4 linked regions of the Lepisosteus oculatus genome follow. The protein of the gene in region 3 purifies or fractionates together with the protein of the main gene of each other region. This does not show direct contact. Links are inferred from orthologs where the notes say so. Each region holds a gene or a part of one and is shown on either strand. Other genes may lie near its edges. The genes, in order: prmt5, patl1, lsm4 and mepcea.

Region 1 (7,644 bases), on a different chromosome or scaffold from region 3:
AGAGGGGTTCATACAGACACACTGACTGACTGGACACTCCAGTACATTAACACTGCACTGAGAGAGAGGGGTTCATACAGACACACTGACTGACTGGACACTCCAGTACATTAACACTGCACTGAGAGAGAGGGGTTCATACAGACACACTGACTGACTGGACACTCCAGTACATTAACACTGCACTGAGAGAGAGGGGGGGGCTGCAGCAGAACCAGACCTGGGCACCACCAGCCCATCTGGACCCAGAACAGGGGCTGCAGCAGAACCTGGCACTGCTGGAGCAGGACTGTCACACATAGGCACTGCTGGAGCAGGACTGTCACACATAGGCACTGCAAGTCCATCTGGACCCAGAACAGGGGCTGCAGCAGAACCTGGCACTGCTGGAGCAGGACTGTCACACCTGGGCACTGACAGTCAATCTGGACCCAGAACAGGGGCTGCAGCAGAACCTGGCTCTACTGGAGCAGGACTGTCACACATAGGCACTGCCAGCCCATCTGGACCCAGAACAGGGGCTGCAGCAGAACCTGGCTCTAATGGAGCAGGACTGTCACACATAGGCACTGCCAGCCCATCTGGACCCAGAACAGGGGCTGCAGCAGAACCTGGCACTGCTGGAGCAGGACTGTCACACCTGGGCACTGACAGTCAATCTGGACCCAGAACAGGGGCTGCAGCAGAACCTGGCACTGCTGGAGCAGGACTGTCAGACCTGGGCACTGACAGTCAATCTGGACAAGACCAGAGTTATAATAATAATAATAAACTTTATTTTATATAGCGCCTTTAAAGGTGGCTTCTCAAAGCGCTTTACAGGATGACAATAACAATAAATAAGAAGACTACAACAATAAATAAGAAAATTTCACAAGACAGGACACAATTATAATTACAACAATACACCAATAACAATAGAGGAGACCGTGGAAGATGGTATTAAGAAGAGCAGAGGGGTGAAGAATGGAACCAGTTAAGTAAAGGCTTTTCTGAAAAGGAGGGTTTTGAGTCTGGATTTGAAGGAGTTTAGAGAAGGTGACTCTCTAATATCCTTGGGCAAGGAGTTCCAGAGCTTGGGGGCATAGCAGGAGAAGGCCCTGTCGCCCATACAATGTAGACGGGCTTGGGGGACAGTAAGGAGGGCAGAATTTGAAGAGCGGAGGTTGCGAGGTGGGGAGTAGGGCGATAAAAGTTCAGACAGGTATTGAGGTGCCAAGCCATGTAAAGCCTTGTAGGTGAGCATGAGGATTTTAAAGTCTACGCGGAATTTGACCGGAAGCCAGTGCAAGGACTCCAGGATAGGAGTAATGTGAACACTTGCACTAGATCTGGTCAGGATTCTGGCTGCTGAATTTTGGACATACTGCAGCTTGTTCAGAGTAGATTTAGATACCCCAGGGAGCAGAGCATTGCAGTAGTCAATTCGAGAGAATACAAATATGTTGATCAGCTTTTCAGCCACAGTTAATGATAGCATAGGGCGTAGTCTTGCGATATTTCTAAGGTGAAAAAAAGATGTTTTGACAGTATGCTGTACATGTGGGTCGAATGTTAAGCCAGAATCGAATATAACCCCAAGGTTTTTCAATTTTGATTGGAGCTCAAGTACAGAGCCATCTACAGACAGGGTTACAGGACTGGCTTTACGAAGTTGATGGGGGGTACCAATAAGCATGACTTCAGTCTTGTCACAGTTAAGATGAAGGAAGTTTTGAGTCATCAAAATTTTTATGTCAGAGATGCAATTAGATAGAATAGAGACAGCCACATCAGTGTCGGGTTCGGTATGGATGTATATTTGAGTATCGTCAGCGTAAAAATGAAAGCTGAGGCCATGTGATCTTAAAAGCTGACCAAGTGGGAACATGTAAATGCTGAAGAGCAAGGGGCCCAGTATTGAGCCCTGAGGGACACCAGACTTGACAAGACCAATTTCAGACCTGTACCCATTGAGAGAGACAAAGTGACAGCGATCAGTGAGGTAAGACTTAAACCATTTGAGGGCAGTGTCAGAGACTCCAAACATAGTCTCGAGACGAGAAAGCAAGATGTTATGGTCAACAGTGTCAAAGGCAGCACTGAGATCAAGAAGGATGAGTATGGAAAGAGAACCAGAATCAGAAGCTATTAGGAGATCGTTGGTGACTTTGACTAGGGCGGTTTCTGTGCTGTGAAGTTGACGGAAGCCAGATTGGAGGGGTTCGAAAAGGTTGTTTGTCATGAGGTGGTTATGTAACTGAAGTGTGACAGCACGTTCTAGAATTTTAGAGAGAAAGGGTAAGTTGGAGATGGGGCGAAAGTTGTTAAGATTGTCGAGAGCCATGTTAGGCTTCTTTGGCACTGGGGTAATAGCACCAGTTTTGAGGACCGTTGGTACAATGCCGGTGCTCAAGGATTCATGTATTATATTGAGGACAATGGGACAGAGAGAAGAGAAACAGGACTGGAATAAAGTGGTGGGAATGGGATCTAAAATAGATGTGGTGGGTTTCATGCGAGTTATGGTTTTCCAGAAGAAAGCCAGACCTCAGGGAAACAGGTACAAATTCACACTGAACAACAACACATTGGAGCACACATCCAGCTACACATATCTCGGTCTCACCATCAGCTCTTCCGGGAGTTTTGACCTGGCAGTGAAGGCACTGAGGGAGAAGGCACTCAGGGCTTTCTACGCAATAAGAAGGAGGCTCTTCAACATCAACCCACCAACAAGAATCTGGCTCCAAATATTTGAAAGTGTAATCCAACCCATTGCCCTATACGGCAGTGAAGTTTGGGGTCCCCTCACAGACCAGGATTACACCCAATGGGACAAACACCCCACAGAAACTCTGCACATGGAGATCTGTAGAAACATCCTCCGTGTGCAGAGAAAAACTCCTAACAACGGGTGCAGGGCCGAATTAGGCCAGTACCCACTATTGATAAACATACAGAAAAGAGTATTAAAGTATTGGTTACACCTAAAAAACAGCGACCAAAACTCCTACCACCACAAAGCCCTGCTGAGCCAAGAGCTGAGCCCAAAACAGAGCCCCCTGAGCCAGCTGGTCCTGAGGCTCACCGACCTGAGCCACACCGACACCAGCCAGCCTCAGGACAGCACTGCTAGAGAACAGAACAAACAGAAACAGACCCTGACGAAGTACAGGCTCAGAGACCACAGTCTGGCCATAGAAACTGGGCGACACAGGCAGACCTGGCTGCCCAGAGAGGACAGGCTGTGCTCCCACTGCCAGCAGGGAGAAATAGAGACAGAGGTGCACTTCCTACTGCACTGTGACAGATACTCTGGGATTAGAGAAACATTCTTCCCCAAATTCAGAAATCTAATCCCAGAGTTCCCACACCTGCCAGAATCCCAACGGGTCCCAATCCTACAGGGAGAGGGAGGAGGGAACTCAGTTGAACTGGCAGCCCAGTATGTGATCTCCTGTCACAGCCTGAGGAACAGTGAGTCCGTCTCCCAATAATGCTCCAGCCGCCTACAGTATATGTCAATATTTTATGACATGTCTCTGCTGTAAATGTGTGTAGATTTGATTTCATGTTTTGTTTCATGTTAATTTTATTATCTTTATTTGCTTTGGCAACACTGATTGTACCCATCGGTCATGCTAATAAAGCACCTTGAACTGAATTGAGAGGTGAGAGAGAGACACGACTCCCACAGTCTGAAGACATACTGCCTGGGGTAATTGTTTAATAACTGGTTAATTGTGTCCTTCGTCCTTCTTTCCTGCCCGCCTTTCCACGGAGCACCAAAGATAGCGAGATCGCCGTGGAACTGAAACCTCGTTCACGTCGCGCCGTGTTCTTCCGGAGTTTGCGTCTCCTGGTTTCAGGGCTGTCATGCCGCCCCCTGGCGGCACCGCTGACGCACCGCAGCTTGCGAAACCAGCTCCTCCTCGCTACTCATGCGACTCGGGTTTTAGGGGGAATCACCCAATTCGCATAGTAATTAACATTTTGGGGGCGTCATTTGAACACAATCAGCTTTTGTGACCGACGGCTAGACAGTGGTGGGACTGAGCAATTAATCCCCTGTTGAGTGAGAGTTCATCAGGCGACTGAATTCAGCGAGCTCCTGTCGGGAGAACGTGAAGAATCTGAAATAAGAACAGTGTCCATGTCCATAGTGTAAAACACTCATGCATTTTGCTCAAATATTAATTACCAGCTAAAGCGACAGTTAACAGCACAGATAACCTCTCACTGAATTACAAAGGGACCTTAAAGACTGCTAAATTTGATTGCATGATGCGCCTGCCTCCAGTAATTGCTTAATTAGCCTTGCCTCGGCCGAGCACGCGGGAAAGATACTGCCAGCGCGCAGTCTCGCTACGAAATCTCGGAATTCCCGTCTCACCGAAACCCACGACCCACAGTACCCCTCCCCTTCCGTTCGCTGATTGGCTGTATGGATCCACCTTTCATCGCATGCCCCCCTAGCTTCTCTCCCACTGGCTGAGTCAACTGTCACTCTAAGCCAGTCCTGCAAATGATTGGCCCTTCGCTCACTCGTGCGTGCCCGCGCCTGACGCGGTTGCTAAGAGACCGGGGAAAAGGGACGTGAAACTGATCCCGGTGCGCCGCCATTTTGGATCAGAGCGCGGTTCTTTTCTACAGCGACTCAAAGTCAGCGCCGGAGCCAAGATGGCGCCCGTTTCCGAAGTGAGCCCTCTCTTCCGCCGCTCCGCCGGGCTTGTGGGTCTCGGTGTCTGTCGGCCAGACAGGGGGTAAAGATGGCGTCCGTGAGTTCGGCGAGTCGGGTCTCCAGCGGCCGGGATCTTAACTCCGTCCCCGAAGTGGCAGACACGCTAGCGGCGGTCGCTAGACTCGGGTAATGAGCAGCCGTGGTCGCTGTGCGTTTCTTTCTTGAGGAGGGGGATGGGGGGGCGGCAGGTTGTGGGGTGCTGCAGCAGCACGTGAGAGCCGGGCCGCTCTGTCGGGGTTCGCATGTCCAGAACCTTCCGATCCAGCCGGACCTGCTCCGAGCCCCGTCTCTTCCAGCTCGATAACATGACCGACTTTAGTTCGCAACCTGTAAATACCGGCTGCCGGTGTGACGCGGGGAAGCACGTTCGTCGTTTTTCTTTTCTTCTAAATGCCGTGAGCGCTGCCGGAGACGTTTCACACGGGAAACGGCGTGAGCGCGGCCCGCTCCGGGACTGTGGACATAAAGCCGGGAATCCGCAGCAGCTTCTCGAGAGTTTTTCAACCGCTGTCGGTGTGACGTCAGGCGGCGGTGACGTCACCCGCCGCGCGAAGTTAATAATAATAATAATTGCTTACACTTATATAGCGCTTTTCTGGACACTCCACTCAAAGCGCTTTACAGGTAATGGGGATCCCCTCCACCCCCCCAGTGTGATGATGCTCCAGTCCGCTCACACACTCCAGCTCTCAGTGGGGAGGAGAGCAGAGTGATGAGGCCAGTTCAGAGAGGGGGGTTATTAGGAGGCCATGACTGGTAAAGGACAGGGGGAAATTTGGCCAGGACACTAGGACACTGGGGTAACCCCTACTCTCAGATAAAGTTGGGTTCATCTGACAGAGCAGGTGAAACAGTCCATCGGTACTCTCTCAGTGCAGTGTTCATGTACTGGAGTGTCCAGTCAGTCAGTGTGTCTGTATGAACCCCTCTCTCTCAGTGCAGTGTTCATGTACTGGAGTGTCCAGTCAGTGTGTCTGTATGAACCCCTCTCTCTCAGTGCAGTGTTAATGTACTGGAGTGTCCAGTCAGTCAGTGTGTCTGTATGAACCCCTCTCTCTCAGTGCAGTGTTAATGTACTGGAGTGTCCAGTCAGTCAGTGTGTCTGTATGAACCCCTCTCTCTCAGTGCAGTGTTAATGTACTGGAGTGTCCAGTCAGTCAGTGTGTTTGTATGAACCCCTCTCTCTCAGTGCAGTGTTAATGTACTGGAGTGTCCAGTCAGTCAGTGTGTCTGTATGAACCCCTCTCTCTCAGTGCAGTGTTAATGTACTGGAGTGTCCAGTCAGTCAGTGTGTCTGTATGAACCTCTCTCTCAGTGCAGTGTTAATGTACTGGAGTGTCCAGTCAGTCAGTGTGTCTGTATGAACCCCTCTCTCTCAGTGCAGTGTTAATGTACTGGAGTGTCCAGTCAGTCAGTGTGTCTGTATGAACCCCTCTCTCTCAGTGCAGTGTTAATGTACTGGAGTGTCCAGTCAGTCAGTGTGTCTGTATGAACCCCTCTCTCTCAGTGCAGTGTTAATGTACTGGAGTGTCCAGTCAGTCAGTGTGTCTGTATGAACCCCTCTCTCTCAGTGCAGTGTTCATGTACTGGAGTGTCCAGTCAGTGTGTCTGTATGAACCCCTCTCTCTCAGTGCAGTGTTAATGTACTGGAGTGTCCAGTCAGTCAGTGTGTCTGTATGAACCCCTCTCTCTCAGTGCAGTGTTAATGTACTGGAGTGTCCAGTCAGTCAGTGTGTCTGTATGAACCCCTCTCTCTCAGTGCAGTGTTAATGTACTGGAGTGTCCAGTCAGTCAGTGTGTTTGTATGAACCCCTCTCTCTCAGTGCAGTGTTAATGTACTGGAGTGTCCAGTCAGTCAGTGTGTCTGTATGAACCCCTCTCTCTCAGTGCAGTGTTAATGTACTGGAGTGTCCAGTCAGTCAGTGTGTCTGTATGAACCTCTCTCTCAGTGCAGTGTTAATGTACTGGAGTGTCCAGTCAGTCAGTGTGTCTGTATGAACCCCTCTCTCTCAGTGCAGTGTTAATGTACTGGAGTGTCCAGTCAGTCAGTGTGTCTGTATGAACCCCTCTCTCTCAGTGCAGTGTTAATGTACTGGAGTGTCCAGTCAGTCAGTGTGTCTGTATGAACCCCTCTCTCTCAGTGCAGTGTTAATGTACTGGAGTGTCCAGTCAGTCAGTGTGTCTGTATGAACCCCTCTCTCTCAGTGCAGTGTTAATGTACTGGAGTGTCCAGTCAGTCAGTGTGTCTGTATGAACCCCTCTCTCTCAGTGCAGTGTTAATGTACTGGAGTGTCCAGTCAGTGTGTCTGTATGAATCCCTCTCTCAGTGCAGTGTTAATGTACTGGAGTGTCCAGTCAGTCAGTGTGTCTGTATGAACCCCTCTCTCTCAGTGCAGTGTTAATGTACTGGAGTGTCCAGTCAGTCAGTGTGTCTGTATTCATTTCTAGGTTTGATTTCCTCTGCATGCCGATATTTCATCCTCGGTTTCGCCGAGAGTTTGATGCAGAACCGGCCCGATCTCGACCTGGAGCTCAGACCCGATCTGACCTGCTGCTTTCAGGAAGAGGTGAGAGTATGTGTGTGTGTCCAGTGGGGGTGTGGTGGGGTCTGTGTGTGTGTGTGTGTGTGTGTGTGTGTGTGTGTCCAGTGGGGGTGTGGTGGGGTGTGTGTGTGTGTGTGTCCAGTGGGGGTGTGGTGGGGTGTGTGTGTGTGTCCAGTGGGGGTGTGGTGGGGTCTGTTCTGTGTGTGTGTGTGTGTCCAGTGGGGGTGTGGTGGGGTCTGTTCTGTGTGTGTGTGTGTGTCCAGTGGGGGTGTGGTGGGGTCTGTTCTGTGTGTGTGTGTGTGTGTGTGTGTCCAGTGGGGGTGTGGTGGGGTCTGTTCTGTGTGTGTGTGTGTGTGTGTGTGTGTGTGTGTGTGTCCA
Region 2 (7,793 bases), on a different chromosome or scaffold from region 3:
CAGACAGGTACAGGCACACTGACTGACAGGTACAGGCACACTGACTTACAGGTACAGGCACACTGACAGACAGGTACAGGCACACTGACAGGTACAGGCACACTGACTGACAGGTACAGGCACACTGACTGACAGGTACAGGCACACTGACAGGTACAGGCTCACTGACTGACAGGTACAGGCACACTGACAGACAGGTACAGGCACACTGACAGGTACAGGAACACTGACAGACAGGTACAGGCACACTGACTGACAGGTACAGGCACACTGACAGGTACAGGCACACTGACTGACAGGTACAGGCACACTGACAGGTACAGGCACACTGACTGACAGGTACAGGCACACTGACAGGTACAGGCACACTGACTGACAGGTACAGGCACACTGACAGGTACAGGCACACTGACTGACAGGTACAGGCACACTCACAGGTACAGGCACACTGACAGGTACAGGCACACTGACTGACAGGTACAGGCACACTCACAGGTACAGGCACACTGACAGGTACAGGCACACTGACAGGTACAGGCACACTGACTGACAGGTACAGGCACACTGACAGGTACAGGCACACTGACTGACAGGTACAGGCACACTGACAGGTACAGGCACACTGACTGACAGGTACATACAGGAACACTGACTGACAGGTACAGGCACACTGACTGACAGGTACAGGCACACTGACAGGTACAGGCACACTGACAGACAGGTACAGGCACACTGACAGACAGGTACAGGCACACTGACTGACAGGTACAGGCACACTGACTGACAGGTACAGGAACACTGACAGACAGGTACAGGCACACTGACAGGTACAGGCACACTGACTGACAGGTACAGGCACACTGACTGACAGGTACAGGAACACTGACAGACAGGTACAGGCACACTGACAGACAGGTACACACACACTGACAGGTACGGGCACAGAGGTATACACACACAGACACACTGACAGACATACTTACTGACACCAACAGATGGACAAGCTGACAGACAGGCACACAAACAGGCAGAAAAAGGTCCTGTTCATCTGGATTACTGAAAGAGGAGAAGGGAGATATACCACATCCAAAAGAAACAGAAACTGTTTTTTTAACATTATGGGAATAACAAAGCTGGGAAGGCTGGGAACTGTGCTCTCAGTGACTGCTGGGAAGATAGCAGCTGGTATCTAAATTTGCCTGTATTTTCCATTTCTCGATGTTTCAACATCCAACATGCTAGAAAGCCAATCTAGTTGTGCTTCTCCATAAGTCAACAGCACAAAGCCCTCTTGAAGAGCCTCCATCCCCCTAACTGATGATAGGAAGGGATGGGAATGATGATAATGATGGGGAAGATGGTGGTGATGATGGTAGTGGGGATGAAAATGATGAGGATGATGCTGATGGTGGTAATGAGGATAATGAAGATAATGGGGATGAAGGTCAGGATGATGGGATGGTGATGGTAATGATGATGGTGGTGATGATGGTGATGAAGGTCACGATGATGATGGTGGTGATGTTGATAGAGGAGATGACGGTGATGCTGGATGTTATAGTGATAGTGATGATGATGATGTGATGAAGGTCATGATGATGGTGATGATGACAATGATGATGGGGTGGTGATGATGGTGATGACGTTGATAGGGGTGATGATGATGATGGTGATGATGATAGTAATGGGGGTGATTATGCTAGGGATGATCGTGATTATGGTGATGGTGATCAGGGTCATTATGGGAATGAAGATGATGATGATACTTGTGATGATTATGGGGATGATGATGATGGTTATGATGTAGATGATTATGGAAAAGATGACAATGGTAATGATGGGTGTTAGGGTGATTAAAATGAAGATTACAATAATGGGGATGATGAAGATGATTATAAGAAAGTAGATTTTGGATTACGGTGAAGGGAAAGATGATGGCGATGAAAGAGATTATGATCGAGGTGATGGGGATGGACATTATGGTGTTGGTGGTGATGATGATGAAGTGTTGACAGAAACATCATCTAGAATGCACTTTCTTGTATTTTATATGATAGAAGTTATACAAGTAAGAATTTGTTAGTATTCTGAGAGCAATCCTTCCTTTCTCCTTTCTCTCAGGAAAGGAAAGAGGAGCCTGCAGCCTGGAGATCAAAGCCCTTCTCCCAGTCTGGGATCAGAAACACTCTGTAAACAACAGCACACTTCTTTATTGTGACGCTGTCTGGGGTTGAATAAAATAAAGATCAAATGAAAAATCCTTTTTTTCTGACACTGGCCATGAGGCCATTTTAATTAACCAGCACACACAACTGTACCCCCGGTTACTTTCCTCTTCTCTCATCTCCTGTCCATCTCTGTCAGGCCCGGACTCAAAGGAGTCTCCCTCACTGACAGGTTGGAGAAACTGAGTCTCTTTAGTCTGAAAGGAGTGTTCCAACGATGACAGATTGAAGGGACTGAGTCTCTTTAGCCTGAAGGAAGTGTCCCACAATGACAGGCTGAAGGAACTGAGTCGCTTCAGTATGGAACAGAGAAGACTTACAAGTTGATCTGACCCAAGGATTCAAAATCCCCAAAGACTCAGACAATCTCAATCCACTGGACTTCTTCAGAATCAACACTGAAACACAAACCAGAGGACACAAATGAAAAGTACGTGGAAGTGCTTTTGAAACTGAGATCAGGAGAGGTTTTTTTTCTCAAGGAGAGGTGGGAGTGTAGAACAAGCTGCACAGCCGTGTTGCTGAAGATGAAACTGTGTTTTGTTTTTCTTCAAGAAACAGCTGGGTGGGGTACTTGGATCAATGAACTACTTGCTTCCAAGCAGGCTAGATGGGCTGAGTGCCCTCTTCGTGCTTGTAGCCTGTTTGTTTTCTTGTTTTCTTTACATGTAACAATTATAATGTTCCTCTCTTCTGCATTTGTACTCTGTATGTCTGCTCTGATTTACACACTGCTCCTAATGCACTGTAAATTGTTATTGATTAAATGTTGAATATAAAACCCAAAATGTGTGTGTACACAAGCCTAAAGCACAGAAGCCACAAGTACAATCTGTGAAGAAAATTAATAATATAGTAATAATAACATCAGTTTATTAACCATTTACAATTTCTTGCATTAGGAATTTGTCTTTTCACATACCCCAGCTTGCTCTCCATGAGACACACAGACAGGGAGAGAAGCTTGGGGTCAGAGCGCAGGGTCAGCCATTGTACAGCACTGCTGGAGCAGTTGGGGTGAAGGGCCTTGCTCAGGGGCCCAATGGAGTATGATTCCTCTGCCAGCTGCAGGATTTGAACCAGCACCCTTCCAGCTACAGGCACAGAGCCTTAGCCACAGAGCCACCACTCTGCCCCGAAGGAAATTTAAAGGAAATTGCTTAAATGTGAGCATTGAATACACAGAACTAAAAACACAAGACACAAGACACAAAGCTAACATGTAAAGATCTGAAATAGAATAAAGAAAACCACCTGACTTCAACCTCTGCCTACTAGATCCCTAATGCTGACCACTCCCAAGCACAGTGCATGGACATAGGCCACAGTAACTAATACTGATCTCATGAAATACCTGAATTCATGGTCAAACCACACAACAGTCTTCACCACTGGTCTAACACACAACTACTGACAGGCCTGCTGGACTATGACCCTACAAGACTCTGGGAGACACTGGGAGACTCTGGGAGACACTGGGAGAGACTAGAGACACTGGGAGACTCTTGGAGAGACTGGAGACACTGGGAGACTCTGGGAGTCACTGGAGACACTGGAGACACTGGGAGACTCTGGGAGACACAGGGAGAGACTAGAGACACTGGGAGACTCTGGGAAAGACTGGAAAGACTGGGAAAGACTATAGACACTGGGAGAGACTGGAGACACTGGGAAAGACTATAGACACTGGGAGACTCTGGGACACACTTAGAGAGACCAGAGACAGTGGGAGACTCTGGGAGACACTGGGAGAGACCAGAGACACTGGGTGACTGGGAAAGACTGGAGAGCCTGGGAGACACTGAGAAAGACTGGAGACGCTTGGAGATACTAGAGGCACTGGGAGAGACTGGAGACACTGGAGACTGGAGACTCTGGGACATTTTAGAGACTCTGGGAAATACTAGAGACTCTGGAGGCACTGGGAGAGACTGGAGACACTGGGAGAGACTGGAGGAACTGGGAGATTTGGGAAGCCATTGAACAACTTGGTGACCCAGGAAGATGCTGGGAGTGGAGGCCCTGGGAAAGACTGGAGACACGAGGAGACATGGTGGACTCTGAGACACACTGAGAGACTCTGGAAGAAACTGGACACAAGACTGAAGAAAGATCTCCCAGCTCATGTCAGATCTTACAGCCCTGTCAGCAGCTTCCACAGCCTGCCTTGAAACTCACTGTTGTGCTCTAGGTTTTAGTTCTGTTTCACTTACTGTTAACTTGTTTAAATTTGTGCTCACCTGTCTAGTTGTACAGTGTCTTGAGGTGCTGAACCATGAAAGACACCCTATAAATTAAATGTGCTCCTGATTATTGATAATTGATCATTATGGAGCCTTATGAATGGCAGTGGTGTGTTGAATATCTCAGTTCTTTTTCTCTCCTTGTATTATAACATATATACAACGTTTCTGTCAGATAATTAGAACTGCCATTTGGGAAGTAGCGACGGGCACGCGCTTTCTCGCCCAATCCGACTGTTAGTGCTCGCGCTCGACAACAGGGCAGCATGAGCGCGCCGGACGCAGCTGTGCGTTCGTGCGCGCGGCCCGGCGTGAGCAGCGGCGTCAGGAGCGGTGCGGGTTCATGTTCCGATTTCAGGTACGTTGCTTCTCCAAAAATCGCCTTTCAGGCTTCCGCTGCCTGTAGGATTGTCCGGCATTATGTGGGTATGTCTGCATGGGCTGCGGAGCTCTTTCCGGCGTCCTCTTACTTTGTCTGTGTGGCGCTGTGTGTCGTATCTCCTGGTTGAGGCCTACAAGCCTCGGCGTTTCCTGCTTAATTCTCCCCGCCGAGGGAGCGTCTGCCGGCTCTGGGATGCAGTTGGCCGATCTAGGGTTACGCTTACCTGTTTAGTTTTTTCCGCCACTGTTTCAGCCATATGACATTCAAAACTGTCCCTGTTTATAATCAGCAATGCGATATGTTGGGTTTCTTTTTAAAAAACGACTGGTCTTTGTGACGGATCCACCGTTATAAAGTATCTGACGAGAAAAGCTGTCTCGGTCCCACTCGTGATTACCGGCGAGTCTATCACTGGGGAAGCGTTTTGGAGGGAAATTGCTGCAGATTCTGACCATAAACCTCTCATGAAGAGTGTGAGGCCCAAAGACAAGTACATTTCCTATAGTTTGAGCCCCAGGGTATCTCTGCAGATTACACCCAAAATGGGGAAACTGGTTTTAAAGCCCCTGGAAATTATATATTTTATTTCTCGAGCTGTGCACCAGGATTTGAGTTAGTGAGTTAGCTGCTGAATTAGTGTGGGGACAGGTTGTGAACACTAGTGTTAGTGAGAGATCAGTGTGTATTAGTGTGGAGATGGGCTGTGAACACTAGTGTTAGTGAGAAATCAGTGTGTATTAGTGTGGAGATGGGCTGTGAACACTAGTGTTAGTGAGAAATCAGTGTGTATTAGTGTGGAGATGGGCTGTGAACACTAGTGTTAGTGAGAAATCAGTGTGTATTAGTGTGGAGATGGGCTGTGAACACTAGTGTCAGTGAGAGATCAGTGTGTATTAGTGTGGAGATGGGCTGTGAACACTAGTGACTCAGATTAGTGTAGATATGGGGTGTGAACACTAGTGTCAGTGAGAGATCAGTGTGTATTAGTGTGGAGATGGGGTGTGAACACTAGTGTCAGTGAGAGATCAGTGTGTATTAGTGTGGAGATGGGCTGTGAACCCTAGTGTTAGTGAGAAATCAGTGTGTATTAGTGTAGAGATGGGCTGTGAACCCTAGTGTTAGTGAGAAATCAGTGTGTATTAGTGTGGAGATGGGCTGTGAACACTAGTGACTCCGATGAGTGTAGAGATGGGCTGTGAACACTTGTGTCAGTGAGAGATCAGTGTGTATTAGTGTGGAGATGGGCTGTGAGCACTAGTGTCAGTGAGAGATCAGTGTGTATTAGTGTGGAGATGGGCTGTGAACATTGGGAACAGTGAGAGATTAGTGTGGAGGTACACACTAGTGTATCTAGAGATGAATGTATCTAGAGACTAGTATATCTAGGATGGGCTGTGAACACTGTTGTCAGTAAGAGATCAGTATGTATTAGTGTGGGGATGAGCTGTGAATACTAGTGTCAGTGAAAGATCAACCAAATCAAGTTACTGGTCAAAATGTAATCTTATTTAGACCATAAGACATAAGGTCAGAAGCAAGTGGAGGTCTCTCTGCCCTTCAAGGTTGTGCGGTAGTAGTTAATCGAACCCAGGATCTTGTCTGTGTCCTGGAGGAGGATCTCATCCAGTTCTTTTCTAGAATGAAACCAGGGTATCGGCCTCATCAGCATGGCGGGGCAGCTTGTTCCACACTCCCACCACCCTTTATGTACCGAAGGGCCTCCTATCCTCAGTTTTTAGATTGAGTTCTGTTGTTTTCATTTGGGTCTTTTGGTTTGGACACTCAGTTCCTATTATTGTCTCCTGTCCTCTAGTGTCTTTTTATTCAAGTTCAAAGAGCTTTATTGGCTAATAATGTACAGTGTTCCAAAAGCAGATACAATTCACAGAACATTTACATTTGCACATCATTGGACATTTGCATACATAACATAAAACATTATGGTGAGACAAACTACTCTCTTTTCCCCGGGCTGTGACAGGGGATCACATACTGGGCTGCAGCTCTGTTGAGTTTCCTCCCCCAGTAGGATCAGGAGCTGTTCTTTTTCTGGCAGGTGTGGGGATTCTGGGCTTAGATTTATTTTAAGAATGTTTGTGTAATCCTAGAGTATTTCTCACAGTGCAGCCTTTGTCTCTGCTTCTGACTGCTGGGAGTAAGAGCACAGCCTGTCCTCTCTGGACAGCCAGGTCTGTCTGTGTCCAGGCTGTGGTCACTGAGCCTGTCCTCTCTACACAGCCAGGTCTGTCTGTGTCCAGGCTGTGGTAGCTGAGCCTGTCCTCTCGTAACTCGTAGGTTAGTTGAGCCCTGGGAAAACTGGCCCTGGTGTGAGTGTGTGTGTGTTGTTTCTGTGTGTCTGCTCTGCAAGGGACTGGAGTCCAGGTTGTACCTTGCCTTGTGGATAGACACTGGCTCCCCCATAACCCTGAAGTGGATACAGCAGTTAATGTATTGTTGGGTGTTTTTACATAACTGAGCAGGGCCTTTCCAGGGTGTTTATCCCTGTCTCACTCCTCCCCCATGTGTGGTGATCTCTCTGTGGCGACATTCTCTCACACATGGCTCTGGGCTATGGTGCTTGTTTTCAGAAATGCTGCACAGTTGTTGTGCAGGACTGTTATGCAAAGCTCTACTTCCGCCTGCTCGTAGATTGATAGCAGATGACTCTTCAGATTATGGCCCAGGCTGGGTTCTGCTAGTTCATTGTGGCCAGCTGATTTTCACAATCCACTCTATCGACTATGTTTCTCACATTATCTGACTCTCCTCCCCCTCCTCTCAGTCTGTATCTCTTCCTGTCCTTTGTGACTCTCTGATTTCTGATCTCTGCCACCCTGCTGCTCCTCTCCCCTGGTTCCCAGTTCCTGCGGTGTCTCTCCCCCATCCTGCAGTACTCCTGTTTCACATTCTTACCCTGACCCACTGACCGTCTCCCTATACACT
Region 3 (7,564 bases):
CCTCTCAGACCGTAATGATTTAATTGAACCAATTAAGTGCAGAACAATTGCAATCACCTTAACCAGATGCGAAATGAAAGGTGCCACTAACAGCTGCAGGAACTGGGGACTCCAGGTTCGGGGGAGACAGGTGAAAGGCACTTGGGTAAAACTGCCCTTGTATCACATGGTGTCAAACAGACAGGAAATGGCAAGCCAGGATTAATACAACCTGGTCGGACTGTTGTAAAAGTGCCTGCAGTTGCATTTCTTCACAGGCAGGAAAGCAAATTCTGCTAAGTTGGGTAGACTAGCAACAACCTGAACAACTATAAAGAACAACTGTGGTCACACAACATGTATAACACACAGACATGATATAAAGAAGTCTGGGGAGAGCCATTCCTCACAACGGCATTTGCAAACAAGCCTGGGCAGAAGGACTAAATCCGTGCAACAATGACTGATCTGCTTTTACAATAATCTTTTCTCACATTTGATTGGCACTTTGCACTTTTTTGCCATTTTCCCAGGGTAAAGCAAGATGTGCGATTGTAGCCAAGTATGAATTCAGAATTAAGTTCTGTATGATTACATTGATAGCAATATACTGTATAATAGCATATGGGTAATTACATGCATATATACATACATATGTGATAATTAAAGGCAGCAAAAGGTTTTTATATTTTACTAAGGCAGGAAAGTTGGTGTGTTCTTTAGGGAAAGAAATTGTAACCAAGGGGACTGCTGACCGTGAAATATACTCGCTTTGCTTCCAGTCTCTAACAGATGTGAACTTTTTTTTGTATGTTTTTATTAATGAGAACACAAATCATTCTCATCTCCCATTCCAGTGATCACACAAACTGGCCCTGGATGGGTAGGAGACAGTGAATCACATCTAAATGTCAGGTTCATGCATTACAATATTAGCTCTAAAGGTTTTGGCTTAAATCACTTGCCGATTCCTAATTTGTCCTAAAGGAGGACCCCCCCACAAAGTGTAATAAAGCGGGCAAAAAAAAAAACCAATATTTTTTATAATCGAGATCTCACATGCTCTGGTGTCGATTGCTCATGTTTTCCCAAGAAGCCCCAGGTCACTGGGTGGTATTTAGAAAGTAAATGATTCAGGTTTAGTAATGATTTAATTAATGAACTTGGGTCTGGACCACAGCTATACTGTAGGGAGCTACCGTCTTCCTATTAAAAAAAAAAGCAATATTTTTAATCACTGAATATGGATAGAATATAATCCCCATGTTTGCATGGATTACCTCCAGGTACTCCTGTTTTCTCTCCGTCCAGACACATACTGGCAGGTTAATTGGCTTCAGGGAAAGTGGCCCAGGTGTGGGTGTCTGCTGGTCTCTTTGTGCCCCATCGCTTGCCAGAAGAAACTGGGGCTCCCCTGCCACTCTGAATTGGACAAGGAGGTTGGAAGAGGGAGTGATGGAGGATGAAAGTTCATACTTTAATGCAGTTGTTGCTAACCCTGGTCCTGAGCTACTCCTGTGTCTGCTGGTTTTCATTCCAGCTGAGCCGTTTCATCACTGATGCAAGTTGATGCCTTTAATTGACCCGTTTGCTCAGTCCTTTCTTTACCTGTTTTTGTGTGCAGTCCTTGTTTTGAACAAACCCTTCTTGAAGCGTATTGTTCCAGCAATAGATTTGTTTGCAACTTTATGCCGTTTGTCCTCAACTAGATCATTAGGAAATGGCTAATGTATTTCTGTTAAAACAGTTTGGAACAAGTTTTATGTAAGTAAGGTTTGTGTTGAACACTATATCAGACACAACCACAGTGAGAATTTCTGTCCGTCTCCTGCAGGGGTCAAGCTGGTTACATTTCAGCTAACACACACGAGTCGTGGGAGTTCTGACTTGCAGCAATTGGCCCAAGGTGATCTTAGTTAGAAATCCCATCCAACATTTTAAGGGCTGAAAAATGATTTTAAAACCTGCCTCATTTAGAGGATTGAAAGATATTCGACTTGAATAAAAGCCAGAACAAACGGGGTTCCCTTATCACCAGGGTTGGAAACCACTTCTTCAACGAGATAATTTTGTGCTTACAATTAAAAAAAAAAAAAGCTATTTTTAGCATTTGTACAATAAAACCAAATTGATTACAATAGCAACATTACTTGTACAAATAATAACCTAAATGGATGCTTTAGGTACAGTATTAACCTTTTATGGTATTTACGATAATGGAAAGGGTGCTCTCTAAAATAAGGCTCAGTAGCAAACTCGCCGACATCTCACATATCCACCAGTCTGACGTTTCATTAATCAAAGGAGTGGCATTTTAATGGTCTTAAAAATTTAGAAGACATCTTTGAGTTATTCATACAACTCTTCAAAGGGCGTTTATTTCTCAACTTCAGGAAGGCCACGATATGCACATGGGGTCATGGAACAGTCACCGGAATAAGACATAAGGAGTGGAATAAACACTGATAAACATTACCAACTCTGTGATCAACGTGCAGAAGCTTGTTCAGGACAGAATATTGATTACTGGGGTGCTTGGAGCAGCCACAGCACTGATAGACAGTGACCTTTCCAGCAAGCCACAGGAGAGTTTGAGAATATACAGAACAGAACAAATGAACCACAGATATGCTTTCTTACCGCGTGCTGGCAAATAGGGTTTCAGAACATGGAGGGGGGGTAATGACTGTAGGTTTTTGTATATATTGGCAAAGGTTATCCACTCCAATCGAACATCAATCCTTCCTTCAAAAATCTCTCTCTACAACCAAATACTCTCTGTCTCTCAGCCAGTGTGCAAGGTATTATTTATATTCTAATGTGGTAGAGGTATGTGAAAGATATTTAGGTAACAAGACTCCCAGATGGAACTGCTCCCATATAGTCAACTAGCCACTGCAACAAATCACGATATAGGGAATGCGACTACTATTGCAAAATGGTCACTGGCTATTAAATATAACTTGTGACAGATCTCCCCCCCGTTTTGATGGTAACGAAGGGTGAGGAATGTGTACACTTACCTTCGTGTAAATTAAAATGAGGCGGGGTGGACGGACACCACTCGTATCCCATTCAGTATAGCCTGGTCATCTGTACTGCCCTCCGACATGCACACGCGCCGTTATCTCGGGGAGAAAAAGATTTTTTCTCATCCTGCACAAACATGCAACACATAAGGACTAAGGATGAATGGAGTCTTTGTGCGTTTTCTTTCGGGTTCCTCCGTCTTCTTTAAAGATAACTTAAGCTTTCATTCACGTGGTATTTTTTTTTTTAATTACCCCAATCCCTAGCAAACACATTAAATACAACCTTTGACACTAGTAACCTGAAATCTCCTTTTGAGATTAGGAGTGTAACCTGCAGCCCACCCTACAAGACTGCATTAACCCATACTTGACTCCTGAAAGCGTGATAATGTCGGCCAGCAATGACATTAATCAGGCTCACCTTATCAACAAAAATCTCACGAAATTTGCTTTTCATTGTCATTTCGTCGGCACAGAACCTATTTTTAATTTCAGGTCTGCTGCTCTTGAAAAAACTGAAGCCGCCATTTGCGCGATCTGTCGCTTAAAAAACGCCACGAAATATTTAAATGCTTTAGGTCTGTGTCCTAATTTAAAGAATAACTGAATTCATTCCTCAACTCTACACAGCTGTGCATTTGACAATGTTTATTCTAAACAAGCTGAAATGAAATGATTAGGAATTGCTATATCAGTAGTCCTGTCCTGTATAGGATGCGCCTATCACCAGAACAATAAGCATTCTGATGATAGGTTCGGAAACACGAATAATAGAAAACTATTGAATATTAATAGCAGATCAAAGGTACAAAGAGAAAAATATGTGGACATAGTTGTTCCAAAGCAGAAGATTTGTATGCCTCGCTGAATCATGATTAATGTTCCCTTATTAAACACCTTTAAATTATTTCGATAAATCTAATTAAACTCGTTACTAATAAAATCTGAACAATTTAATGCTGTCATGCTAACCGAGGGATGTGAGCTGTTGAGCTCGAAGTTTTGGTGGGGACCTTTTAACTGAATTGGCAGAGGGCCTAGTTAAATATCGAGGACTACGTGTGATATCACATCCTAAATCACATGTTCACATGGGGGTCTGGATGTCTCCAAATGTGATTTTTCGTAGGGACATCTTCAGATCTATTACGTCTGTCAAAAACACACTTAATACATTATTTTAGAAAAGGTAATCGCTTCCATCATCATATATATATATTACATATTCTTTCTTTTTCACACTGAAATATATATTTTTCTAAAGTTCCTTTGCTAGCTTTGTAATATACTCTTCCGCGTGTTCACTCTGCAGAACAGAAGGAGGATGCGAGCATGTTTTTACGACAGAAGCATACTTTACGGCAAACTGTACAAATCAATTGGCGGCAAATTGTTATCTCAAACTAACTATAGCATTCCAACGAAGAACCCTCCTTCGCTTCCTTTTGATTGGCTTATTTTACTCTTCACTCGCGTTTTTGAGGTATGATTGGAGAGTACAGTTATCCCTCATGGTTGTATGATTAACAGGCTGGGTTAACACAGTGAAGCAAAAATTATAAAAGGAAGCAGAAAGAGAATGGTGAGTTTTGCGTTTTGTGTACGAGGTTTGGGGGTTTATAGGTACTTATAGGTATTTTTATAGGCACTTTTACGGGAAAGGGAGGAGATAATTATTAAAATGCGGAAACGTGTGTTTACATCGCCCTTCACAGCGAGTAGATGCGATACTTAGAGGTTTAACTCGTATACCCGCATTAACAAGTACATTGCTTAACTTTACATTATCTGCAGAGGAAAACGCTTAGTTAATTCCATAGTCGCAGAAATGGTAGTTTTCATCGTAAGTTTCGTGCTCAGAGGTAACTAAATGTCTGTCATTCGTTAACATAAATCTCAAACAACGTGCCGCAACAGCAATTTAACATGAAATGCGAGTCCTGCGATGTTACCTATACACGTGTGTTACACGGCCTGCAGCTCTTCTTGAGTCTCTCGTTTGCGTTTACATTTTCCCCGTGTGACGAGCAGATTCGTACTGGTCCTCTGAATGTCTCTAACATCTCGTGTCCAAGTACATGATGTAACCGATTTTCAATTACAGTTAAATCTCTGGATAGACAAGTTAACCATTAGTCAAAACGTATATTCTGTTACCAGTGCGTTGAAAGTCAAATCTCTTAAAAATCTCTTTAAATCACTCTTTAGTGCTGTTAAAAAAACGGATATATGATTCACATTTCGTTATAGCTTGTGGTTTCTGCATAAATAATTATTTACAATATCAAGAGACTTACTCTTGGTCTAGACCTGAGGATAGCTGGCTTTAATTTTGCTAAGCCAGATGCTGCATTTTGCAGTGTTAGCATATAACTAACTGCATTTCCACTGTGTTCTGGCCCTGTTAGTTATTAGCACAAGTGATATGAGGGCAGCTCCATGTCATCTAGGTTTCAAGGGGGTGGTCAGCACCTGTAATGTGTACAAGAGCCTAAGTGTTATTACTGAGCAGGGCTGGGCCTTATGATGGGAGTCCTCTAAGGATAACCAGGTTTCTGCTGTAAGTAATAATTGCTTACACTTGTATAGCGCTTTTCTGGACACTCCACTCAAAGCGCTTTACAGGTAATGGGGATCCCCTCCACTATGTAGGCTCCCTGTGCAGCATCCACCTGGATGATGCGACGGCAGCCATAGTGCGCTGGAACACTATTAGTGGGGAGGAGAGCAGAATAATGAAGCCAATTCATAGATGGGGATTATTAGGAGGCCGTGATTGGTAAGGGCCAATGGGAAATTTGGTTACAACCCTACTCTTTAACCGGAATGCCCTGGGATTTTTAATGACCACAGAGAGTCAGGACCTCGGTTTTACGTCTCATCAGAAGTACAGTGCCTGCTTACAGTATAGTGTGCCCGTCACTATACTTGGGTATTAAGACCCAGATGGATCACAGGGTGAGCACCCCCTTCTGGCCCCACTAACACCTCTTCTAGCAGCACCCTTAGTTTTTCCCAGGAGGTCTCCATTCCAGATACTGGCCAGGCTCACTCCTGCTGAGCGTCAGTGGGCTGCCAGCTGGGAGTTGCAGAGTGATATGGCTGCTGGCCGAGTGTATTGAAAAAACAGACTTTTAGGGTTCTGAGTCACGTCTTTTCTTTTGTATTACTACTGTATTTCATAGAAAGTGGAATTTGTTAATTCTGCTCTTAAAAATATATTTTTTTGGTATCCATATCACAAAGTTTTCCTAAACCATTGTTGCTTTTCCAGCTGCCACTGTCATTGTTGAAGACTGCTCAGAATCACCCTATGGTAAGTAAGTGCGCATAAAATAATGCACTAATAAAATTACAGGGGCACCCTAATGAAAAAGGACATGAAATGTCTTTTACTCAGAACTGTTTTATCCGCTCAAGTTTTCTGCCAGCACCTGTAGCTTTTGATTTCCTATGTTTTACTCCTGTATTTAATGATTTCCTATTGAATGATTTCACCATGAAAAAACATCATGGTGAAAAGTATCAAGAGATCATATGGTTACATGTGTTGAACAGACAGAAAATGCTTTAAACAGTGTAAGAAATAGCTCTCATGGTCATATTGAGACAAATGAGCCTGTTGCTTTAGAGAAGGGTCCTGTATCCCCAGGCCTGTAGTGTGGGGTAGTGGTCAATGCTCTGGACTCCTGACAAGGAGTTAGAGGGTTGTGTGTTCAGAACCTAAGTGGTGATAAAGCTGCCAGACCCTTGAGTAAGGTACTTTACCCCGAGTGCTTTTGTGCAATAGATCTGTGTAAATCAAAAAGTAATTATAAACTCTCTCACACTGGATATAATTTGTATTCCAACATTTTTATAATAAAAATGTTTGAAAATGTGTTGTACTTTGTCGTCCGCTGTGCTATGCGTTTGTTTTTTGAATGAGATCTTTTCTTTTGTATTGCTCTTGTATTTTCTAACTGTTCAGAGCCCATCCTGACCCTTTTATTCTTGTTTCAAAGCTGGTGGAGCTGAAGAATGGGGAGACATACAACGGTCACCTAGTGAGCTGTGACAACTGGATGAACATCAACCTGAGAGAAGTCATCTGTACATCTAGGGTAGGACCTTTCTCATTGCTGTGTAGCGGGACTTGAAAGAGATGTCGTTAAATCTTTCGAAGTGTGTGACAGGTGGTGATGTATAGGTGCTGCAGAAGCTGAATTTGTACAGTTAAGGTACTGACCACTAGGTGGCTCTGTATGTTTAGAAAAGGAAATACTAGCTTTTCAGGAAAGCCCTTTAAAATCCTGATACTGTTATTCAGGTCTCCTCTGGTCTGATGAAAAGAGATGGAAGAGTTTTCACTGAAATCAAAGTAGACTTATAAGCCTGATGGAGATCAGTGTCTTAAGTGAGCTTAAGAATATAGCTTAAGAGAGTTATTGCCCTGGGTGAAACTGCAGCGGTGTGATAAAGACAAGAAGTTGTTTTTCGAACCTAACGAAGACTCCATTGCCAATATATGGTTCTGCTGTAAATACAAAAAACAATGTTTTGAGTCGGAAAGA
Region 4 (7,863 bases), on a different chromosome or scaffold from region 3:
CCGCCGCCCCCTCCCTGCGCCGCTGCCGCGCCTCCTCGGCCGCCAGCTCGGACAGGTAGTGCCGGACGTTCTGCCGCGCGGCGTGCACCAGCGCGCCGTCGATGTCCAGGCCGGTGACGCGGGCCGGCTGCCAGTTCTTGGCGAGGGTCAGCGTCAGGTGGCCCGTGTTGCAGCCCAGGTCCAGCACGGCCTTGCCCCGGAACCACTCGGGCCGCAGCACCCTGACGCGCGGGTCCTCGCTCCAGCCAGGGTTGCGGTAGCCGTAGTACTTGTTGTAGTTTCCGTACTGGAACTTGCGCTGCTGCTGCTGCTGCTGCTGCTGGCGGCGCCGCCGGTGCGTCCCGGCGCCCCCGCGGGCGCACGAGGCCGAGGCGGCGCTGCCCGGCGCCCCCATCCCGCCGGCGCCCCCGCCCACGGGGGTCTGGAAGGTTTGGGCTTGCTGCCGGGCCGCCCGCCCCTTCTCCGGGGTGACCTTGCGGCCGCCCGCGGCGGGGCCCGGCCCGGCGGCGGCCGAGGAGGAGTCGGACTTGCTGGACGTGCGCCGGCGCTTGCGGTGCCTCGCCGGGCAGGAGGGCGGCGCCGCCGAGCCCGGGGGGGCCGAGGCGCAGGAGGAGGGGTCGGCCGCGCTGGGCGGCAGGATGGGCTGCACCACCTCGTCGCGGCAGTTGATGGAGGTGTTGAGCTCGTAGGGCCGCGGGGACTCCGGCACGGGCGTGAGGCCGGCCCCGGGCGCGGCGCCCTCGGCGGGGGCCTGCGGGACCGCGCTCCCGGGCACGGAGGAGGACAGCGCCGCCCCGGCGCCCCGGCCCTCGCGCAGGGCGCCCGCCCGGCCCGGCTCGGCGGGGTCCGGCTGCGTGGAGACGCCCCCCCCGCCGCCGCCGCCGCCGCCGCCTCCGCCGTGGTGCCGGTGCCGGTGCCGCTTGCGGCCCCCGCCGCCCGTCTTCATGGGCGACACCAGCAGGCCGGTCTCTCCGCCGGCGCAGTTCAGGTTGAGCGGGTCGGTGATGTCCTTGGGGATCAGGATCTCCACCGGGTCGCGGCTCTTGGCGGGCAGCGGGGAGGACTTGGGCGTCTCGGCGTTCAGCGCGCGGTTCACCTCCTCGTCCAGCAGGCTGTTGAGGTTCAGGGGGTCGAAGATGTTGCCCCCCAGGAGGAAGTTGGTGGGCAGCACGGGGTCGCTCTCCGAGTTGGCGCGCCGCCGCCTCTTGCTGAAGCCGGGGTGCTTGAACCCCACGTTCACGCTGTTCCTGCGCTTGAAGGCCTTCTGCTGCTGCTGCTGCTGCTGCTGCTGCTGCTGGAGCCCGTTCTTGGGCCTGGCGGCGCCGCAATCCCGGCCCGGCTGCTCCGCCGGCTCCGTGCCCGCTTGGGCGGCGGCGCCCCCCTGCGGGCGGGGGGCGCTGCTGCGGTCGCCGGCGCACTCCCCCTCCGGCTGCGCGCGGCGCTGGGGCTGGTCCTGGGGCCCGCTGGCGCCCAGCCCGGCCGGCTCCTTGTCCACCGACATCTCGATCATCTCCTGCTGGGCCCCGGGGCGACGCCGGCGGCACTGCGCATGGACCTGCGGAGCAGACACAGGGGGGCGAGAGTCAGCGCGGCACGGCGGCGGGGAGCACCGCGTCTCCCACCCCTCCCATCCCGCTCACCTCATAGGCCGCCCGACGATCGCTCTAGCCCCTCTCACCTCTACAACAACTCCCCCCCCAGCCTCCTCTGGCCTTGAGAGCACCAGCACACTTTCCCCGACAAAGACGTGTTTCACAGAAACCAGGCAGCCAAGCAGCCCGTCCCTGCAGAAAACAGAATTCCTTCAGCGGCTGACAAACGTCTTTCTTTTGTTTTTTTAGTCCTCGGCACTAGGAGCTGCTTGGCTTTGCGAATGAGCTGCCGAGTCTCTTGTCCATGTGCTTTGTGGTAGCAGCAAAGCAGGAAAAAAAAAACGTTGTCTATTCGTCCGGCAGCGTCAGCCCACCCTCTCCCGTGCGTGCCCCTGCGTGCTCCCGCCCCCTCCCGGCAGCGAGGAAGAGATTTGCATAGCCACGCCCCCGCGTCGCCAAACGTCCCCCCGCGCTCATGAATAATTCATGAGACATAGGAGCTCTATGGAGGCAAGAAAAAAAGCGCACACATACACACACACACGGAGACACAGATACACACATACACGCAGCCTGGTCGCCGTATTCTCCGCCTTCCCGTTTGCTGAAGCTGCACCCCCAACTTTCCCTCCCCCGAGTTTTTTTAGTAAGTCAATCGGAAAAATTAAATCCACCCAACAACTGACTTGGCGAGAGACATTTTTTTTTCTGGATCGTGCCCGCAAGTTTTGTTTTTTCTTAAATATATATTTATACATTAAAAGTACCACACGAAATCAAAAAGTATGAAATCTGCAAGACCCACCCCCTCCAAGAAATCAGTTTTCGTCTGAACTGAATTATTTAAAAAACAAAAAAACAATTTTTTTGTTTGAACTCGCAGTCAGTGTGTGTGTGAGTGTCAGTGAGCTCTCTCTCGCTGGACCCCCCTCTCGCGGCTCTAATCAGCGAGACTAGCTCGAGCTGCTGGATCTCGCGCTGCGTTTTGGCGTCTCCTCGAGCTTTATATGTCTCTCGTGTAGCCCAGGAAAAAAAGACCGGCAGCCACGCCAGCCAATCAGAGGAGGAAATACCTCCCCGCCTTTCTTCGTCTGACCAATAGGAAGGAACGGGGGGAGAGGCGTAACGACTAACCTCGTCTCTTCCTCCCCCCTTTTCCCTGTAGGTCTCTAGTACAGTGCCTGACAAAAATACATTTCCCACAAGGGCTGGACGCTATTTTTATAAACCAACGCCCTAATATGCGAAAAACAAATGAAAATAATTTCACTGCGTCTCGGCTGACTTTCAGCGTTGGCCTGTTTTTTTTTAATTACAACCGACAGCACTTTTTCTCCCTGTTCAGACAGGAAACCGCCGCGGCCACCCCAACCCGTGTAAACAACCTGGTGTTTCACTGCCGCCGGAACGAATCTCGCTCTTTCTCCGGCACAGCCGCACCCACACAAAGGACGATAAAATGCTCGCACGCTGAATAGTGTGATGTGTCTTCGAGAAAGAAAGTCGTAGCGGTTAAAACGCGGTCCCCGCCCCCTCCCCCTTCCACCGCTTCCCCTCCCCCCCAGCACTCGGCGCTTGCCTGCGACAGCACGTGAGGCAGGTCCTCGAGCCTTCCGTGGAGGATTCTGGGACATGTAGTTTTCCCAGTCGCGACAGTCCACTCCAGACGGTTTCGCGACTGGAGAGCTTCTTCCTAAACGCGCACAGTGAAGCGCAAGGCGTGTTATAAACGCACCTCTTTCCACTGACGTCTTCTTAAGCACGTCAGTCTTTTACCCTCTGATGACCGTCTTCGAGTTACAAAGCTCACCACAGCGAATTCACCGTGAAGAACTAACGTTGTTCAGTGACCCCGTGGTTCACGCAGCGGCATCTACACGACTAGATGCTTGCAAAATCCAGCCGCCCCCCCCCCCTTCGTTCGATACAACGTTATTCACTCCTCCACTTCATTTTATTACAATAAAGCCACCCGCAGTGGAGCGTTTTAGAACTGTCCCCTGCGCACAGGTGCCGGCTGAGTGACAGAGGTCAGTCCTCTCTCGTGTGATGTTCCCACCCGCGGGCCCGGGCTGGACCGACTTCACGCCTCCAGGCCCCCGTGTCGCCCGAACGGCGCACACGTTCCCACGAAGCGTTAACCAGGAGTAAGCGCCCCTCGCACCACCCAGGCAACGTACACAATAAATCGAGTGGCCTGTGGTCTGTCGCAGTTTCGGCCTCCCTTGTCCATTAATCCCGGTTCGGCGGAGATTTTTAACCAGGTGCGGCACATAACCCCCTTCCACAGCCCCGCGAACACCAGCAGTGAGTTACTGTGATGTGTTGCTGCTACTGACCTCCGTTTCCATCGCGTTCCTTGAACACACAGGCGCCCGGAGTGCACAAATCCTGTCGCAACACGCGAAGCACAGGAGTCGGGAAACCAGCGAACCGGTTGTCAGCCAGTGCTGGATAAAATCCGAGGAGGCAGAACAGGTAAATAAGAATAGGCCAGTTGGCAGCATCCATAAAGATAACTGGTAAGAATGTGTCCACAAACACCACTCGTTGAGGTAAATTCATTACAGATTAACGTGGTTTAGTCGTCGTTCTGGCGCTCTTCTGACGTCATGATACATCGTTAACAGCTGGAACAGCATTTCTTGTATATTTTCTCCCGCTTTGTGATATTCTTTCTTTACAACGATAACAGAGTACAGTAATAACCCTCAGACGTCAGGCCTACGTGCAAAGAAATAACATTGAAATAAATGCTAGTATTTCCATGTAAACGTGCCACTCGCCTGCTATTTCAACTACACTGACTCCGTTGGCGAGGGCAAGTGAACGAGTAACCGTAGTGCTGAGGAGCCGAGGACTGTGGCATTTTTTTGATCCCTTGCATACATGATATAACCGCTCTTTTGTAGAGTGTTTTTACACAATGTATTATTCCGTATTGTGTTAGATCTTAGATCTGGCTCGAGACCGCCCTCGGCCCAGCGTGCTCGGAGGGCGGCAAGGCGCGCGAGACCTACCCCGTTGCCCGCGCCAGTCCTCGCCTCGCTGCCCCTAAAAAACGGCTCTAAAACTTGTGACGAATTTTGTTCAGCTTTGTGTTCTCCATCTCCGAGTTTTACTTGTTAAGACAGAAACCTGGCGGTTTTGTGGAGAATGGACGAAGGAAAAGGTAAAAAAAGGAGCGTTTTTTCTCTTTTAATCTTGTTCCAGCCTGGGTAGGCAAGGCCCGGTCCAGCTGTGGGATTTCCGTCACGGTACCCGCGACCGGTGTTACTTGGGACCAATGACTTTTTTATGAATTTATTCTACATTTGCTTGTGTTCTGTTCACATTTTCCCGAGTTTTTATTTTAAAGATGTGATACCCCTCTTTGAACGGATAACATGTTACTTTCAGTCGCTTTTCCCAACCAATGTACAAACCTTATCGCCATTGGTTCTTTAGTTTTCTTTTAAAATGTAAAGAAATGGATGAGATCGCAAGTAAATGAATACACTTCATAAATCCGAAGTCATTGTTTTCAGTAAAAGAAACAACAGTTTCTATCCACCGTACAGAAAATGTGATTCGATTACATTTGACTGCAATTTAACATACAGATCGTCAATCTGTCTTCGATGTGAATTACATAGACAATTGGGGCTTTAATTATTTAAATCTTTCCTTTTTCGGGTGTCTGGTCTGGAAGGAAATTGACAGTACGTTTTAACAATGTTTATATGAGACCCACCACCAAATATTGTACATTGAGGTTTAATAATATTGGAAACCTGGTTGAGAACCTTTCAAAAACCAAATTATTACAAATCTCAAGTGACTCCCTAAAGTAAATGTGGGTAAATTATGTAAAACACATACATAATTCAAAGACCTGCACGTGTCTGAGACCAAGGTTGTGTATGTGAGACTGCAAGCGTGAATGTGTTACTTAAGAGTGTGTGAGTCCTTGAGAGTCTGTCTGTGGGTGTGTGTGAGTCTTGATAGTGTGTCTGGGTTGTGTGTGAGTCATGAGAGTATGTCTGGGGTGTGTGTGTGAATCTTGAGAGTGTATTTGGGTGTGGGTGAGTCCTGAGAGTGTGTCTTGATGAACTCACCTACTGTGTTTTCTCAAATAAGGCGACAGTGGTGCAGTGGTTAGCGCTGAAGCCCAGTAGCACTGGGGCCCAGGCTGCTATCTGTGTGGAGTTTGCGTGTTCTCCCTGTGTTTGCGTGGGTTTCCTCCCACAGTCCAAAGCCATGCTGGCAGGTTCATTGACTTCTGGGAACACTGGCGCTGGTGTGAGTGTCTGTGTGTGTACCCTTTGCACAAAGGGTGGTGGGAGTGTGGATCAAGCTGTCCAGATGTGTTGCTAAAGCCGATATCCAGGGCCCTTTCATGAAACAGCTGGACAAGATCTTGGCATCGATTGGCTACCAACTAGCAAACCTGGCACATGTGCCAACAGGCCTGCTCTCGCCTGCCACCTTCCTCCTGTGCTTCAAGAGTGATTCCTGAAATCTGACAGCGAGTCCTCCGGCAGCTTGTCCAGCCGGCGTTCTTGGATTTAAGCACGACAGCGTTTCAGATGTGTGTGTCCCTAGTTTATGTCCCATCAGTATGTCTTTGTGTTGTGCAGAGAAGCTGAAGATGAAGAAGCCAAAGTTCGCTCCCCCAGTCGCCCTGGGTGGGCCGGGCGACGGACAGGGGAAAGGGCCGCAGGAGGAGAGGGGAGCAGGAGTGAGGGAGAGGGAAAAGGCGGCGGGGTCGAGAGGAAGGCCATGTCGGAAGGCCGGCGAGGAGAGCCCGGGACGGGGAATCGGAGCAGGGAGAAGCGCAGGAGAGGAATCCACGGAGGTGTTGGGAAAGGGGCCGATTCCTCGGACGGGGAAGAGCAGGTCAGCGGCTGCGGGCGGCAAGAGGCCCGAGGAGCGGAGCCTGAGGGTGCCGGGGCTGGAGGGCCAGGCAAGGGAGCTCCTGGGGCCTGGGAGGACAGGGGGGGAGAGAAGGAGGAAGGGGAAGGCTGTAGGCCCCGGTGGAGGTTCGGGAAGGGGAGAGGGGTGGGAGGAGAAGACCCTCCGGGGGGAAGAGGAGGAGGGCACTGCGCGGCCAGGCCCAGCTGGGATAAAGGAGAGCCTGGCAGGCTGCACGGGTGGAAAGGGCTGGGCGGGATTGCAGCCCGGAGGCAAGAGAGCGGGAGCCGCAGAGCCGAGCGGGAGGAAGAAGGACAGAGTGGGCGGCCAGCGCGGAGACAGGCCACTGCCCGGAGGGACGGGCTCTGTCCTGAAAGAGGGAGCAAAGGAGGGAGACCGGCCCAAAAGCGACAAGAAGAAACCAAAGATGAAAACTGGGGAGTCAGACCAGGAGCCTGAGGAGAAACCTAGAGGCCTACCTGTCTGGAGGACAACAGGGGAAGAGAGGGCAGGGACCCCAAAAAACAGCAAGGTAACAGAGGGGTGAGAGAAGAGTGTGGGTTAGAGAGGGGGTGAGAGAGGAGTGTGGGTTAGAGAGGGGGTGAAGGAGGGTGGGTGAGAGAGGAGTGTGGGTTAGAGACGGGGTGAGAGGGGAGTGTGGGGGTGAGAGAGGAGTGTGGGTTAGAGAGGGGGTGAGGGAGGGTGGGGTGAGAGAGGAGTGTGGGTTAGAGACGGGGTGAGAGAGGAGTGTGGGGGTGAGAGAAGAGTGTGGGTTAGAGAGGGGGTGAGAGGAGTGTGGGTTAGAGAGGGGGTGAGAGAGGAGTGTGGGGGTGAGAGAAGAGTGTGGGTTAGAGAGGGGGTGAGAGAGGAGTGTGGGTTAGAGAGGGGGTGAGGGAGGGTGGGGTGAGAGAGGAGTGTGGGTTAGAGACGGGGTGAGAGAGGAGTGTGGGTTAGAGAGCGGGTGAGAGAGGAGTGTGGGTTAGAGAGGGGGTGAGAGAGGAGTGTGGGGGTGAGAGAGGAGTGTGGGTTAGAGACGGGGTGAGAGAGGAGTGTGGGGGTGAGAGAAGAGTGTGGGTTAGAGAGGGGGTGAGAGAGGAGTGTGGGTTAGAGAGGGGGTGAAGGAGGGTGGGTGAGAGAGGAGTGTGGGTTAGAGACGGGGTGAGAGAGGAGTGTGGGGGTGAGAGAAGAGTGTGGGTTAGAGAGGGGGTGAGAGAGGAGTGTGGGTTAGAGAGGGGGTGAGAGAGGAGTGTGGGGGTGAGAGAAGAGTGTGGGTTAGAGAGGGGGTGAGAGAGGAGTGTGGGTTAGAGAGGGGGTGAAGGAGGAGTGTGGGGGTGAGAGAAGAGTGTGGGTTAGAGAGGGGGTGAGAGAGGAGTGTGGG

What was found.
Region 1: the proteins of lsm4 (region 3) and prmt5 purify together in Homo sapiens (co-immunoprecipitation; 3 studies listed by BioGRID and IntAct, with this or other methods). This does not show direct contact. The link is inferred for Lepisosteus oculatus from reciprocal best matches to the Homo sapiens genes LSM4 and PRMT5.
Region 2: the proteins of lsm4 (region 3) and patl1 purify together in Homo sapiens (co-immunoprecipitation; 4 studies listed by BioGRID and IntAct, with this or other methods). This does not show direct contact. The link is inferred for Lepisosteus oculatus from reciprocal best matches to the Homo sapiens genes LSM4 and PATL1.
Region 4: the proteins of lsm4 (region 3) and mepcea purify together in Homo sapiens (affinity purification with mass spectrometry; 3 studies listed by BioGRID and IntAct, with this or other methods). This does not show direct contact. The link is inferred for Lepisosteus oculatus from reciprocal best matches to the Homo sapiens genes LSM4 and MEPCE.

What each region holds. Positions count from the first base shown.
Region 1 is NC_090699.1:13,421,589-13,429,232, reverse strand, and holds the start of prmt5 (protein arginine N-methyltransferase 5), read left to right. Parts: upstream 1-4,585; 5' UTR 4,586-4,751; coding exon 4,752-4,849; intron 4,850-7,171; coding exon 7,172-7,290; intron 7,291-7,644. UniProt on the Homo sapiens protein: Arginine methyltransferase that can both catalyze the formation of omega-N monomethylarginine (MMA) and symmetrical dimethylarginine (sDMA), with a preference for the formation of MMA.
Region 2 is NC_090701.1:44,819,061-44,826,853, reverse strand, and holds the start of patl1 (protein PAT1 homolog 1), read left to right. Parts: upstream 1-4,728; 5' UTR 4,729-4,811; coding exon 4,812-4,826; intron 4,827-7,793. UniProt on the Homo sapiens protein: RNA-binding protein involved in deadenylation-dependent decapping of mRNAs, leading to the degradation of mRNAs. Acts as a scaffold protein that connects deadenylation and decapping machinery.
Region 3 is NC_090724.1:3,861,220-3,868,783, reverse strand, and holds the start of lsm4 (U6 snRNA-associated Sm-like protein LSm4), read left to right. Parts: upstream 1-4,494; 5' UTR 4,495-4,590; coding exon 4,591-4,593; intron 4,594-6,285; coding exon 6,286-6,327; intron 6,328-7,015; coding exon 7,016-7,114; intron 7,115-7,564. UniProt on the Homo sapiens protein: Plays a role in pre-mRNA splicing as component of the U4/U6-U5 tri-snRNP complex that is involved in spliceosome assembly, and as component of the precatalytic spliceosome (spliceosome B complex).
Region 4 is NC_090698.1:10,420,872-10,428,734, reverse strand, and holds the start of mepcea (7SK snRNA methylphosphate capping enzyme), read right to left. Parts: upstream 3,062-7,863; 5' UTR 2,978-3,061; intron 2,949-2,977; exon of another isoform or gene 2,398-2,948; intron 1,785-2,397; exon of another isoform or gene 1,641-1,784; intron 1,556-1,640; coding exon of another isoform or gene 1,511-1,555; coding exon 1-1,510. Other genes in the region: zinc finger CW-type PWWP domain protein 1-like, read left to right, coding at 6,193-7,017. UniProt on the Homo sapiens protein: S-adenosyl-L-methionine-dependent methyltransferase that adds a methylphosphate cap at the 5'-end of 7SK snRNA (7SK RNA), leading to stabilize it.